Rattus norvegicus: one gene and its partners. The protein of the gene in region 1 purifies or fractionates together with the protein of each later gene. This does not show direct contact. Links are inferred from orthologs where the notes say so. Each region holds a gene or a part of one and is shown in the gene's direction. Other genes may lie near its edges.

Region 1 (3,648 bases):
AAAGTCCAGAAAATGCTGTGCTGCAAAGGTGGAATTCAGGGTTTGAGCTAGATGCAAATAAGAAACACTTTCTTCCCGTATGAGTAATTGTCCACGCTCTGATGATGCTAGAAGCTGGTCCAACCCAGCTTCAAGTTTAAATCTTAACCTGACTCTACCAACGTGGTTCCTTCTTTAATTGGCATATTTCTCCTCTGCAAAACTGAACCCATGGAAAAGAGAAATGAAATATGGATGTGATCAGTGAATTGTGGACTTGCCACAGTGTACAGTGACAGTGGATCTGTACAGAAACTGGGCTTCTAAATCCAGTAAAGTGGCCGTGAAGTTGTAACTGGATGAAAATAAAATTGTCTACGGAAATATTTAAGACACGAGTATCTTGTCAATTGTGGACAGTCACCTTGGTTTTTATGGAGATACTGATTGCATTTATACCGAAACAGCGGAGGATTAGTGTAATGTCTGAAGTCAAGCAAAGGAATGTAATGTCACTGTCATGTTTTCTATGTTGTGTCATGGAATCCAGGTAGGATAAAAATTAGTGCATATTAGGTCAGAGCTGAGTGAAGCCTACTGAGAAGGATTAAAGGTGTGTGGTGTATCCATTTGTATCCAAGAACCAGTCTCCTGTGTGTCCTCTGAGCTAGTAGGACCCAACTGTAGACTCATACCCACCTTTTCTAAGCATGCATCTGAAGTACTCCCAGGGCTGCTAGCATGATTGTGCGTCATCAGACCATATGTGCTCGTGAGACACAAATACAACATTTCCTTTGTTTCTGAGAGTGACTGTGTTTATATTCCATATATTCCTCTTGTCTGTGAAAGTATACTAATAAATATGTATTTCAAATAGGTCCAAACTACAGAGAAATGAAAATCGAGATATCAGTGAAGTCATTGCTCTTGGTGTGCCCAATCCTCGAACTTCCAATGAAGTCCAGTATGACCAAAGGCTCTTCAACCAGTCCAAGGTATGAGGAACTTAGAAAACACCTTTATCTAGTGTGTTCTTCTTAGTTAGGGTTTCTATTGCTGTGACAAAACACTATAACTAAAAAGCAAGTTGGGAAGGAAAGGTTTGTTTTAAAGGCTTACACTTCCGTATTGCTGTGAATTGACGCTAGTAAGTGTAATGTTAGCTCTTCCTGGGAATAACTTGTGACTTAATGGTTTGAGAATTAGAGATAGCAGTAAGATCTTCCAAGCAACAATGCATTGTTTGATACTTTTTATATTTCTGGCATTGTTCCAAGTCTATTCATTTCAGTCCTTCAGAAAAAATGGAGGGGAGGGGGACAAACAACATATGAAGGCGGACAATTGGTTTTTGGGGGAAGGTTCGTTCTTTATTTTTCCTATTTTTCCATTTTCATTCGTATGCATGTTTGCATGTGTAGGCAGTATGTGTACATGCATATGTTTATGTTGGAAATTGATGTTGGGAATTGTCTTTATCACTCTGCCTTCCACATTATTCACTGAGGCAGATCTCTCAGTCCATCCCAGAACTCACTGATAGAATTACCCAGCCTGCTCTGAGATTTCCTGTCTGCATCTTCAGAGAATGGAGTTACGCAAGCTTCCACACCCACCTATCATTTACATGGGTCCTAGGAATCCAAGCCTGGGCCCTCATGTTTATGTAGAAACTGCTTTAACACTGAACTGTCTCTGCAGCACCCACCCTATTACCTCTCATGGATAATTAAGACAGGATCGAGTCATTGATGGAACTGAGATTCAACCTTGAATGCTTTGATGCCAAAGCTTCTTTCATAACTGCTTTGCAGCATCAGCCAGACTGAGCAGGAGTTGGGGTGGAGGCGCCACAGGAGTAAATCTTTCACAGCAGCCATCTCTTCTGACCTTGAGCTTAAACCTTTTAAAAGCTGAGTTAAAGTTTTTAAGATTTTCATTGAGGACCTTATGATCTTGTGCTTTAATTAATACTGACATTCTCAGGCAGTTGAGGTAACTTTTCTCAGCATCATTATCCAGTACCCACAATACAATCCTTCAATTTTAATGACATTTTTAGTTGATTTTCTTTTTCTTTTTTTCCTGAGGACTTCATACAATTGAATTTTACCATATTCACTCTCCTCCACCTGCTCCCAGATCCACCCCTCCTTCTCTACACAGCCAACTTTCTGTCTTGTTTTTCTTGGATTGGGGTTTTTATTTGTTCTTCAGTTTTGGGTTTTGAAGATGGGTTCTAGGTGTATCCTTGCTGTCCTGAATTCACTTTGTAAACCAGATCTGCCTGCCTCTGCTTGTGAGTGTTGGGATTAAAGCTATGCGTCACCACGCCTAGCCATTGTCTTTTATTTTTGGTTAGTCAGAACTTTGCTGTCGTGTGAGACCGGGAATGTTATATAGCTCTGGCTGTCTTAGAACGTGATATTCAGACTGGCAGAGACTCACCTGCTTGCCTCATTAGTGCTGGGATTAACCTAATCTAATGAATACTCTGATTTAATTTTAGTTTCTAAGTAAGAACTCAAATGTGTATAAACAACTGTATACTTACTATTTTACATAAATATTGTAGTTGCGATTTCTTAATTAGCTGTAAACGTGTGTCTATTAATTCCTAAGCATTTAGATTCAGCTTTGGATAAGTATACATTTTTATTTGGTGTCATTCATTTTTTCCACAGGGTATGGACAGTGGATTTGCAGGTGGAGAAGATGAAATTTACAATGTTTATGATCAAGCCTGGAGAGGTGGCAAAGATATGGCTCAGAGTATCTATAGGCCGAGTAAAAATCTGGACAAGGACATGTATGGCGATGACCTCGAAACCAGGATAAAGACCAACAGGTACCAATGCAGACAGTTGCTGTTCATTCCTGTTTACACCAGCAAAACAGAAATAGTTCATAACTTCTTCTCTTTTCCCCCTAGATTTGTTCCTGATAAAGAGTTTTCAGGTTCAGATGGTAGAAAGAGAGGCCGAGAAGGACCAGTTCAGTTTGAGGAAGATCCTTTTGGTTTGGACAAATTTTTGGAAGAAGCAAAACAGCATGGTGGGTCTAAAAGACCTTCAGATAGCAGTCGCCCCAAGGAACATGAACATGAAGGCAAGAAGCGAAGGAAGGAGTAGATGGGCCTCTTGAAATTAAATCTGACGTATACAGCAGAGGACTGCCTGGTCTGGCCAGAGTGAGAGAAAATGGACCTAACCCTCAAGAGACTTGAGACCACAAAGAATGGGGAAGCCTGGGGGGTGGGGGGTGGGGTGGGGCATCCTCTTGGAGACAGGGGAAGAGGAATTTTTGGAGAGATGATGGGGAGGGGGATAACAACTGGACTGTATTTAAAAAAAAAATTAAAAAAAAAAACAAACCAAATCTGGGTGATAGATCCCAACACTCCTTCCATCCAGGAGATAGAGGCAATGCATATTCTATTTCGCAGTAGTTTTTATAAAGAATGGTCTGTGTTTGTGCCTCTCCAATCTTGCAGCACTTATAAAAAATACTGCCCCTGACAAAATTGAGGCTACTTCCTTGCTAATCCAGGGGTAAAATTTTCTGTAAGAACTTTATGAATTACCCCAAATGGTTAGTAGGTGGATGCTCATACACTCGAACTGTGCTGGCAGATGCATTTGCCCTGTTGGACTCTTCTACTGTGCA
Region 2 (3,748 bases), on another chromosome or scaffold:
GCCCAGCGGCCGGTCTGGTTTTTGTTAGAGAAAACATAAACAGTTGGTAGGTGGCGGGGAACCGTTGTTCTAACAAATATCGGAGGCAGGCTACTTTAAAGAAAAGAGGGCCCTCTTGGCTCAAAGTTCTAGAAGCACAAGGTTCACAGGGAATGACACAGGCAATGTCTAGGGCCTCTTCTGGTGTCACAACTATGGAAGTCAACTCATGCATTTGTGCCTGTTCACTTTCTTTCCTATAAGAACCCCACCAGGATTCTTGTTATGTCCTATTCTAATTCCAAAGATCCCACCTCTAAATGCCACAGTTAAGCCAGATAGTAATGACACATCCCTTTGATTTCAGCACTCAAAAGGCAGAGACAGGAAGATCTTTGAGTTTGAGTCAAGTCTTGTCTACAGACTGAGTTCCAGGACAGCCAAGGGCTATACACACACACACACACACACACACACACACACACACACACACACACACACACACAAACCCTGTCTTGAAAAACAGAAACAAAAATGAAACCACAGAAAAACACCATAGTCCTGTTAACTTTCCACTCTTACGGTTTGTTTGTTTATTGGGACATGCTTTCTCTACACAGCCCTGATTGTCCTGGATTAGAACTCACTGTACAGATCAGGCTGGACTTGAACGCGGAGTTCTGCCTGGCTCTGCAGCTCAGTGCCTGTGCTTAAAGACTTGTGCAAACACACCCATCAACTTTCCATTCTTTTAAATATTCACATAAACGCCAGGAATTAAATTCCCTCGAGTTTAGAAAACAGACTATATTTAAAACGTAGCAGGCAACGAAGCCAGGGACTTGCCCAAATTCCCAGAGCAAGAGTAGAGACAGAACCTAGACAGTGTTAGCTTCTTTACTCATTTGTGCTTTATTTACGGGGTCACATTGTTTCTCAAAAGGCAGCCAAGGAACACAGGCTCAGAATCATACCTACAGACTCTCTAAGGCAGACCCTAGGAATCTGCATTTTTACAAGCTCCTGAGAAATCTGTCCTGCACACGAACATTTCAAAGACTAGTGTTCCCTGGGTGACAGCAGCTCCGCCTCAAAAACAGCCTTGGCCAGATTCCTAGGTTTAAGATCCCCGCAGCCTCATGGGAAATGTAGTTTCTGCTCTCCTTCCCGCCTCAGGCCTCTTGGAAAACTCGCCGGAAGAAGCCGAGCCAATGCGGAAACAGCCGAGTGTTCCGAGGCGGGCCTTTTCCTGCTCGGTTGCATGCTGGGAAAGGGCAGTTTCCGTTAGCTGCAGAAGGCTGAGGCGCGCCACCGGCCACCTCCCCACGTGAAGCAGTTGTGCGAGCATCGCCACGCCGGGCAGCTGTCTACCCGCGTCCGAGCGCTCCGGAAGCGGCGGGGGACCGGAAGTGGCCCGCGGAGGCTGCAGAGCTAGTCCGGGAACCCGCTGTGAGGCGACTGGCAGCAGCGCTACGACGGCGCCATGTCCCTGATCTGCTCGAGTGAGTGCTGGCTGCGGCGGGAGGCGGGAGCGTGTGCGGCCGCTGTGGCTCGGGCCCTAGAGCCCCCGGCCCTGCGTGCAGGGTGCATTTGCGCAGTGATGCGCAATTCACGTAGCTGGGAAGAATGACTGTCTCAGGGGTCTTTTGAAGCCAGCGTCGTTTTACAGAGCTGAGACAGGCCTGAGCAGAAGTGGGGGGAGGAGCTGGTGCAGTGAAAAACAGCTCTTGGTGTCAAAAACCCGAGGACGTGTCCAGGATCCGCCTCCGACTGTGATCTGGGCTCTAGCGGGTTTGGGCCTCAGTTTCCCCACCTGCAAAATTGAAAGCATTGCAATGGATATTGCTTGGGAAACCTCGCTTAGGAATTGGAGTTTCTGATTTGCAGAGATCATGCAGTGACTTCGAGACCAGGGCTGGAAGCCAGGTGTCTGGCTTCTAGCCTCGCGCAGTATGACTAATGAAAACAGCGAATGTTTAGAAAACCTGTATTGATTTACGATGCATTTCCAAACGGTGATCTCATTTTATGCTTACAAGAATTGTCTGAAGGGAAATAAAGATCCGTGTGTTACAGAGGTTGTCGGAAGACTTGAAGAATGGGTTTATCCAGGGGTGTGCGACGAAACTAAGCCATGGAGCTCGGTTCTTTGAGCCTGGATCCATGGTTTTCCCATGTAGTATATGGTCTTGTCTTTGGGTGTTGTATTACGGCATTGCGGGTGTTCTCCCAGTTGTTTACCCCATTACTAGTTTCCTCACTTTCTCTCTTTCCCTCTCAGAACGTTGCCATTAATTCAAAGAGGGAAAGGAAGGAGGGAAATGACAAACAGAAAAGGAAGTCTCATAGTGAAGAAATAGCAGTTTGCAAAGTATTTATGAACGATTTGTTTCCTTTTCATCTTTGAAACAACACTCTTACATGCCCAGGGCCATCCTTCCTCTGGTAGGAGAGGGAAAGCTCTCAGAAAGCTTCAGTCGTTGAGTAGTGAGATAAACCTACAGAATAGGACAGGAAAGCCATATACAAAAATAGGGATTTTAAGTACTGAAACAAATACTTAATTACATGTGCATGGAGTCCTGCAAAATTAAGTGACTCTAAGGGAAGACACTGAGAAGGATAGGAGCTTGAAGCCTTGGGTTGTTGACTCACAACCTATGGGAAGGCGAATAGAATTATGTGATGAATAAGAGCTGTTTTGTGATGTGATAAGTCACTATCTTAGAGCGGCCTTCAGAAGAGTCTGATGTGGAGGTAGCTTTCACTTGTCTGCTTGAGTGATCCAGTTGTCTTTTTTAGGGGAAGGTAGAGAAGCAAGGGGGGTCTGAGAAGGTCAGAGAGACCTTGGTTCTTGCTTTTGAGGCTTTTTTTTTTTTTTTTTTTTTTTTTTTTTTTTGGTAGTTTGGCATGCCCAGGGCTCCATACTTTGGGATATTCTTTTCTGAGCCCCAGTACTTTTGCACTTATTTAATCTGCTCTGATGTTTATCAAGTGTGTGCTTCGCTTCTGCATTGTCCTGGAGGTCAGTGACAGCTGTAAGTCCCATCTTCAAGGGTACACAGACTATTCTGTCGAGCGCTTAGAATAGAATTCTGCCTGGCACGTAGTAGCAGAGCAATGGAAAGTTTTTGTTTGTTTGTTTTTAATTTATCAGTGCTTGTCACATGGCTTTGTAATTTCTCTTGTTGATCCATCTCGGGCTCCCGATGGATGACAGAAGTTTGAGTTGTGCTCTGTGTACTTCTCTGTCATGTGCCTAGTCATCTGGGTTCAAAAAAGAGATCGACCACTCTATACCGCACTGGCACATAGGATCTGGGCAGTTATTATTTATTGACTTTTATTATCAGCAGACCAGAGATTCTAGGTAAGTAGTTGGCAAGCATTGTGGGACCAAGTACAGGCAGGCTTGCTGTCACAGACCTTGCTTCCTGATAGCTGACTATAAAGGACAGGGTCTTGTTGGGGCTGACACAGTGAAGAGTCTCCTTTTACCCTGTGGCTCACTACCTGTCTTTCTCTATAGTCTCCAACGAAGTGCCAGAGCACCCATGCGTGTCCCCTGTCTCTAATCATGTGTATGAGCGGCGACTCATTGAGAAGTACATTGCAGAGAATGGCACAGATCCTATCAACAACCAGCCTCTCTCAGAGGAGCAGCTCATCGACATCAAAGGTGCCTGCCCAATAGCCTTGGTCCAAGGCCATCTCAGCTCAGCCTTCAAGAGTGGGAGGTGGTGCCAATCTGGTGGAGAAGATGGTGGCT
Region 3 (3,648 bases), on another chromosome or scaffold:
GAAGTTGCTTTCTGGTTCTGAGGAGTTTTTCTTTATTGACATCATAGTGTGGACAAGAAGGGCCACGTTCACTATTTAATAAAGTGGCGAGACTTACCCTACGATCAGGCGTCTTGGGAGAGTGAGGATGTGGAGATACAGGACTACGACCTGTTCAAGCAGAGCTACTGGAACCACAGGTAGGTGACTGTGAAGAGGGGAACTGCTCTCCTTCAGAAGGACCGAGAGGCAGCTCTGCCGTTTTCTCTCCTAGGGAGTTAATGAGGGGTGAGGAAGGGCGACCTGGCAAGAAGCTTAAGAAGGTGAAATTACGGAAACTGGAAAGGCCTCCGGAGACCCCAACTGTTGATGTGAGTTTGGGTGGAAGAGGAATGGTGTATTTGTTGTGTGGGCAGTACGCTGCAGTGTCATGGTGAAGCTCCAGGACCTGTAGATGACTCTAGCTGAGACGATCTAGATTGTCCTCTCAGAAAGCATCAGGAAAAACCCACAGATGGGATATTTTATGTTAGGACAGTGTTCACTAGGAGGTGGTCTTATATACAAGGGGCTTGTGTATGTGTGCGTGTGCGTGCGTACAAACGTATGCATGTATGTATTTGAGAAAGGCAAGGTCTCATATAGCTCAGGCTGACTTTTAACTTCTGATTTCCTGTCTCCGCCTCCTAAGTGCTTTGATTGCTTACGTGCGCCAGCCTCTACCTGGCTGGTCTTAACGATGACAGCAGTTAGTGTCCTGGCACACCGGAGCCTTTCTTTGCCTTGCATGTTTTGAATAGTGGTCTGTGTCAGGTCTCCCTGAGGCCTAGATAAGCTGCCTTGTCCTCTGAAGGATGCTAAGGCACATGCTGCAGTGACAGTGAGGATCCCATCACTCCCTTTTCCCAAGTGTATTGAGGCTCACACATGTCCACAGTTCTTTCTGCTTACTGTCCCTGTGCCCCCTCTTTCCTCCCTCCTTCCTTTAGCCACCCCATTCTTCCTTCCCTGCAGATCTCTTTCCCACATTCATGCCTTTTTGGTCTGGGACCCACTGGATTTAACTGGGACTCTCTGTGACCATTGGTTTGGATCTGATCTGTCCATTATGGCCTGGTGGATTCTGTGGCAACTCCAAGGCAACTAAATTCTTTATTGTTACATTTTGAGACGGTATATCCTGATCCAAAGACTAGTCTTGAACTCAATCCTTCTATCTCAGCCTAAGTACTAGGGTTAAAAGGGGGTCTTACCATGCCTTATTTCCCTAAGGGCTATTTTGTTTTGTTTCTCTTAGCTCTCAGGAAAAAAAAAAGATCCACTAGGACTCGTGTAGGAGGAAGCAGTCTTCCAGGAAGGGGGTTCTTTACCAGCTTTTGACCTCTCTTCTCCTTCAGCCCACAGTGAAGTATGAGCGACAGCCGGAGTACCTGGATGCCACAGGTGGAACCCTGCACCCCTACCAAATGGAAGGCTTAAACTGGCTACGCTTCTCCTGGGCTCAGGGTACCGATACCATCCTGGCTGATGAAATGGGCCTTGGGAAAACTGTGCAGACAGCAGTCTTCCTCTATTCCCTGTACAAGGAGGTAAAGAGGCTGGGAGACGCTAGTGTCTGGAGTGGGTATTTTGTGACTATATTTTCTTGTGTTTTAAGGAGTGGGAGGAAGGGAGAAAGAAATACTGCAGAGGGATAGGAAGAGACAGCTCTGTAGTACAAATCCTTTTTTCTTTTCTTTTTCTAATTACTTTGTGTGGGTATGTTGTCCATAAGTATGGCTGTGCACCACCTATGTGCAGTACCTGGGGAGGCCAGAAGAGGGGTCACCTCTTTAAACTGTAATTACAGACTATAAGCCATCATGTGGGTGCTGGGATCTGGACGTGGGACCTATGCAAAGCAGCTAGTGCTTTTAAACAGTGAGCCACTTTCTAGATCCTACAGTGGAGATTTTGCAGGATCAGAGCCCTGGTAGGCTGAGTGCCTGGAGGTAAAAGGCCTTAGTGGTAGGAAATTCTTGTGTAGGTGGAGGAGTTTGGTTTTGTCAAGGTGGGCAACTGCCTTTTGGGAAGAGGGGTGAATGGTGTTTGTAACAGATGAAGGGGCGTCAGAGGCACAGGTGTCCAGTGTCAGCTTCACTGTGGGTCAGGGAGGAGGGGGAGTCTGGGGTTCAGGGAGGGGGCTCTTAGCCCTGACTCTGCCTGTTTCCTTCCAGGGTCACTCCAAAGGCCCCTTCTTAGTGAGCGCGCCTCTGTCCACCATCATCAACTGGGAGCGAGAGTTTGAGATGTGGGCTCCTGATATGTATGTGGTGACCTATGTGGGTGACAAGGACAGCCGTGCCATCATCCGGGAAAATGAGTTCTCCTTTGAAGATAATGCCATTCGTGGTGGCAAGAAAGCCTCCCGAATGAAGGTATTTCAGTGGGAGGGAAGAGGAAACTTGACAGGGAGTCACTGCTGTGGGCTGCTTTGCTGCCTTACCAGGTCTCTGAGTGAGGCAGAAAGAGAACTTGGGGAGCAGGGAAAGCTTGCTTGTCCCAGTTGTGCTGAGGAGTGGACCAGTAGTGAGTAACCGGCTTATCGTTATGTGCAGAAAGAAGCATCTGTGAAATTCCATGTTCTGCTGACATCCTATGAGTTGATCACCATTGATATGGCCATCTTGGGTTCTATTGACTGGGCCTGCCTCATTGTGGATGAAGCCCACCGGCTGAAGAACAACCAGTCTAAGGTGAGGAGTGGGAGGTGAGAGCCTCTAGTCCTAGTCCCTTGGGAGAGTCATCTTTTTGAAAGAAGCCTAAGTAGAGAAGAGGGGAAAGTGGTCTTTATTTTCTTCTTGACCGTTGGTAGCCCCTTCTTTGGCCAGGCATTTAAGGATGCCAGCCATGGGATGAGAGGCTTTAATTCACTGGACAGTGAAACAGCTTGGGATTTTTCTGGTGCTCTGGTGCCTTCGTTTCTTGAATTTCATTTCTCTTCACCAGTTCTTCCGAGTTTTGAACGGTTACTCACTCCAACACAAGCTGTTGCTAACTGGAACTCCATTACAAAACAATCTAGAGGAATTGTTCCATCTGCTCAACTTTCTCACCCCCGAGAGGTTCCAGTAAGTGTGGCTGTCTGTCTGTCTGTCTGTCTGTCTGTCTGTCTGTCTGTCTGTTCCTAGCTATATGTTTGTTCTTCTTGTTGCTCACTTCCCGTGTTACTTTCCTTTCTTCCTTTTTTCTTTTTCTCTAACAACTCTTTTCCCCCTGAAGCAATTTAGAAGGCTTCTTGGAAGAGTTTGCTGACATCGCCAAAGAGGACCAGATTAAGAAACTACACGACATGCTGGGGCCTCACATGTTGCGGCGGCTCAAAGCTGATGTCTTCAAGAACATGCCCTCCAAGACAGAACTGATTGTGCGTGTGGAGCTGAGCCCTATGCAAAAGTGAGTGTGGAGGGATGGAGCAAATTGAGCTTCGTGACAGACACCCGCCATCCCGCCAGCAGTTTCTTCCACAGAGCTTCATGTCTGCCGATAGGAGCAAGCAGGGCCCGAGGAAAGCTCACACCTGGGAGCGGGAGCTTGTAGTTGCTCGTTCCACCTTCCTGTGTCTAACACAAGGATGGTGTGGCAGTTGCCTGTTAGCTCAGCCCCACAGTGAGGAGTGTTGGAAAGATG

The links.
Region 2: the proteins of Snw1 (region 1) and Prpf19 purify together in Homo sapiens (affinity purification with mass spectrometry; 3 studies listed by BioGRID and IntAct, counting the BioPlex papers as one, with this or other methods). This does not show direct contact. The link is inferred for Rattus norvegicus from reciprocal best matches to the Homo sapiens genes SNW1 and PRPF19.
Region 3: the proteins of Snw1 (region 1) and Chd4 purify together in Homo sapiens (affinity purification with mass spectrometry; 3 studies listed by BioGRID and IntAct, with this or other methods). This does not show direct contact. The link is inferred for Rattus norvegicus from reciprocal best matches to the Homo sapiens genes SNW1 and CHD4.

Annotation. Positions count from the first base shown.
Region 1 is NC_086024.1:112,826,444-112,830,091, reverse strand, and holds part of Snw1 (SNW domain-containing protein 1), read left to right. Parts: intron 1-859; coding exon 860-977; intron 978-1,376; exon of another isoform or gene 1,377-2,666; coding exon 2,667-2,830; exon of another isoform or gene 2,831-2,914; coding exon 2,915-3,113; 3' UTR 3,114-3,648. UniProt on the Homo sapiens protein: Involved in pre-mRNA splicing as component of the spliceosome. As a component of the minor spliceosome, involved in the splicing of U12-type introns in pre-mRNAs.
Region 2 is NC_086019.1:216,965,232-216,968,979, forward strand, and holds the start of Prpf19 (pre-mRNA-processing factor 19), read left to right. Parts: upstream 1-1,275; 5' UTR 1,276-1,462; coding exon 1,463-1,481; intron 1,482-3,508; coding exon 3,509-3,658; intron 3,659-3,748. UniProt on the Homo sapiens protein: Ubiquitin-protein ligase which is a core component of several complexes mainly involved pre-mRNA splicing and DNA repair. Required for pre-mRNA splicing as component of the spliceosome.
Region 3 is NC_086022.1:159,594,741-159,598,388, forward strand, and holds part of Chd4 (chromodomain-helicase-DNA-binding protein 4), read left to right. Parts: exon of another isoform or gene 1-47; coding exon 48-179; exon of another isoform or gene 180-253; coding exon 254-350; exon of another isoform or gene 351-1,376; coding exon 1,377-1,568; exon of another isoform or gene 1,569-2,195; coding exon 2,196-2,396; exon of another isoform or gene 2,397-2,576; coding exon 2,577-2,714; exon of another isoform or gene 2,715-2,967; coding exon 2,968-3,089; exon of another isoform or gene 3,090-3,240; coding exon 3,241-3,414; exon of another isoform or gene 3,415-3,648. UniProt on the Homo sapiens protein: ATP-dependent chromatin-remodeling factor that binds and distorts nucleosomal DNA. Acts as a component of the histone deacetylase NuRD complex which participates in the remodeling of chromatin.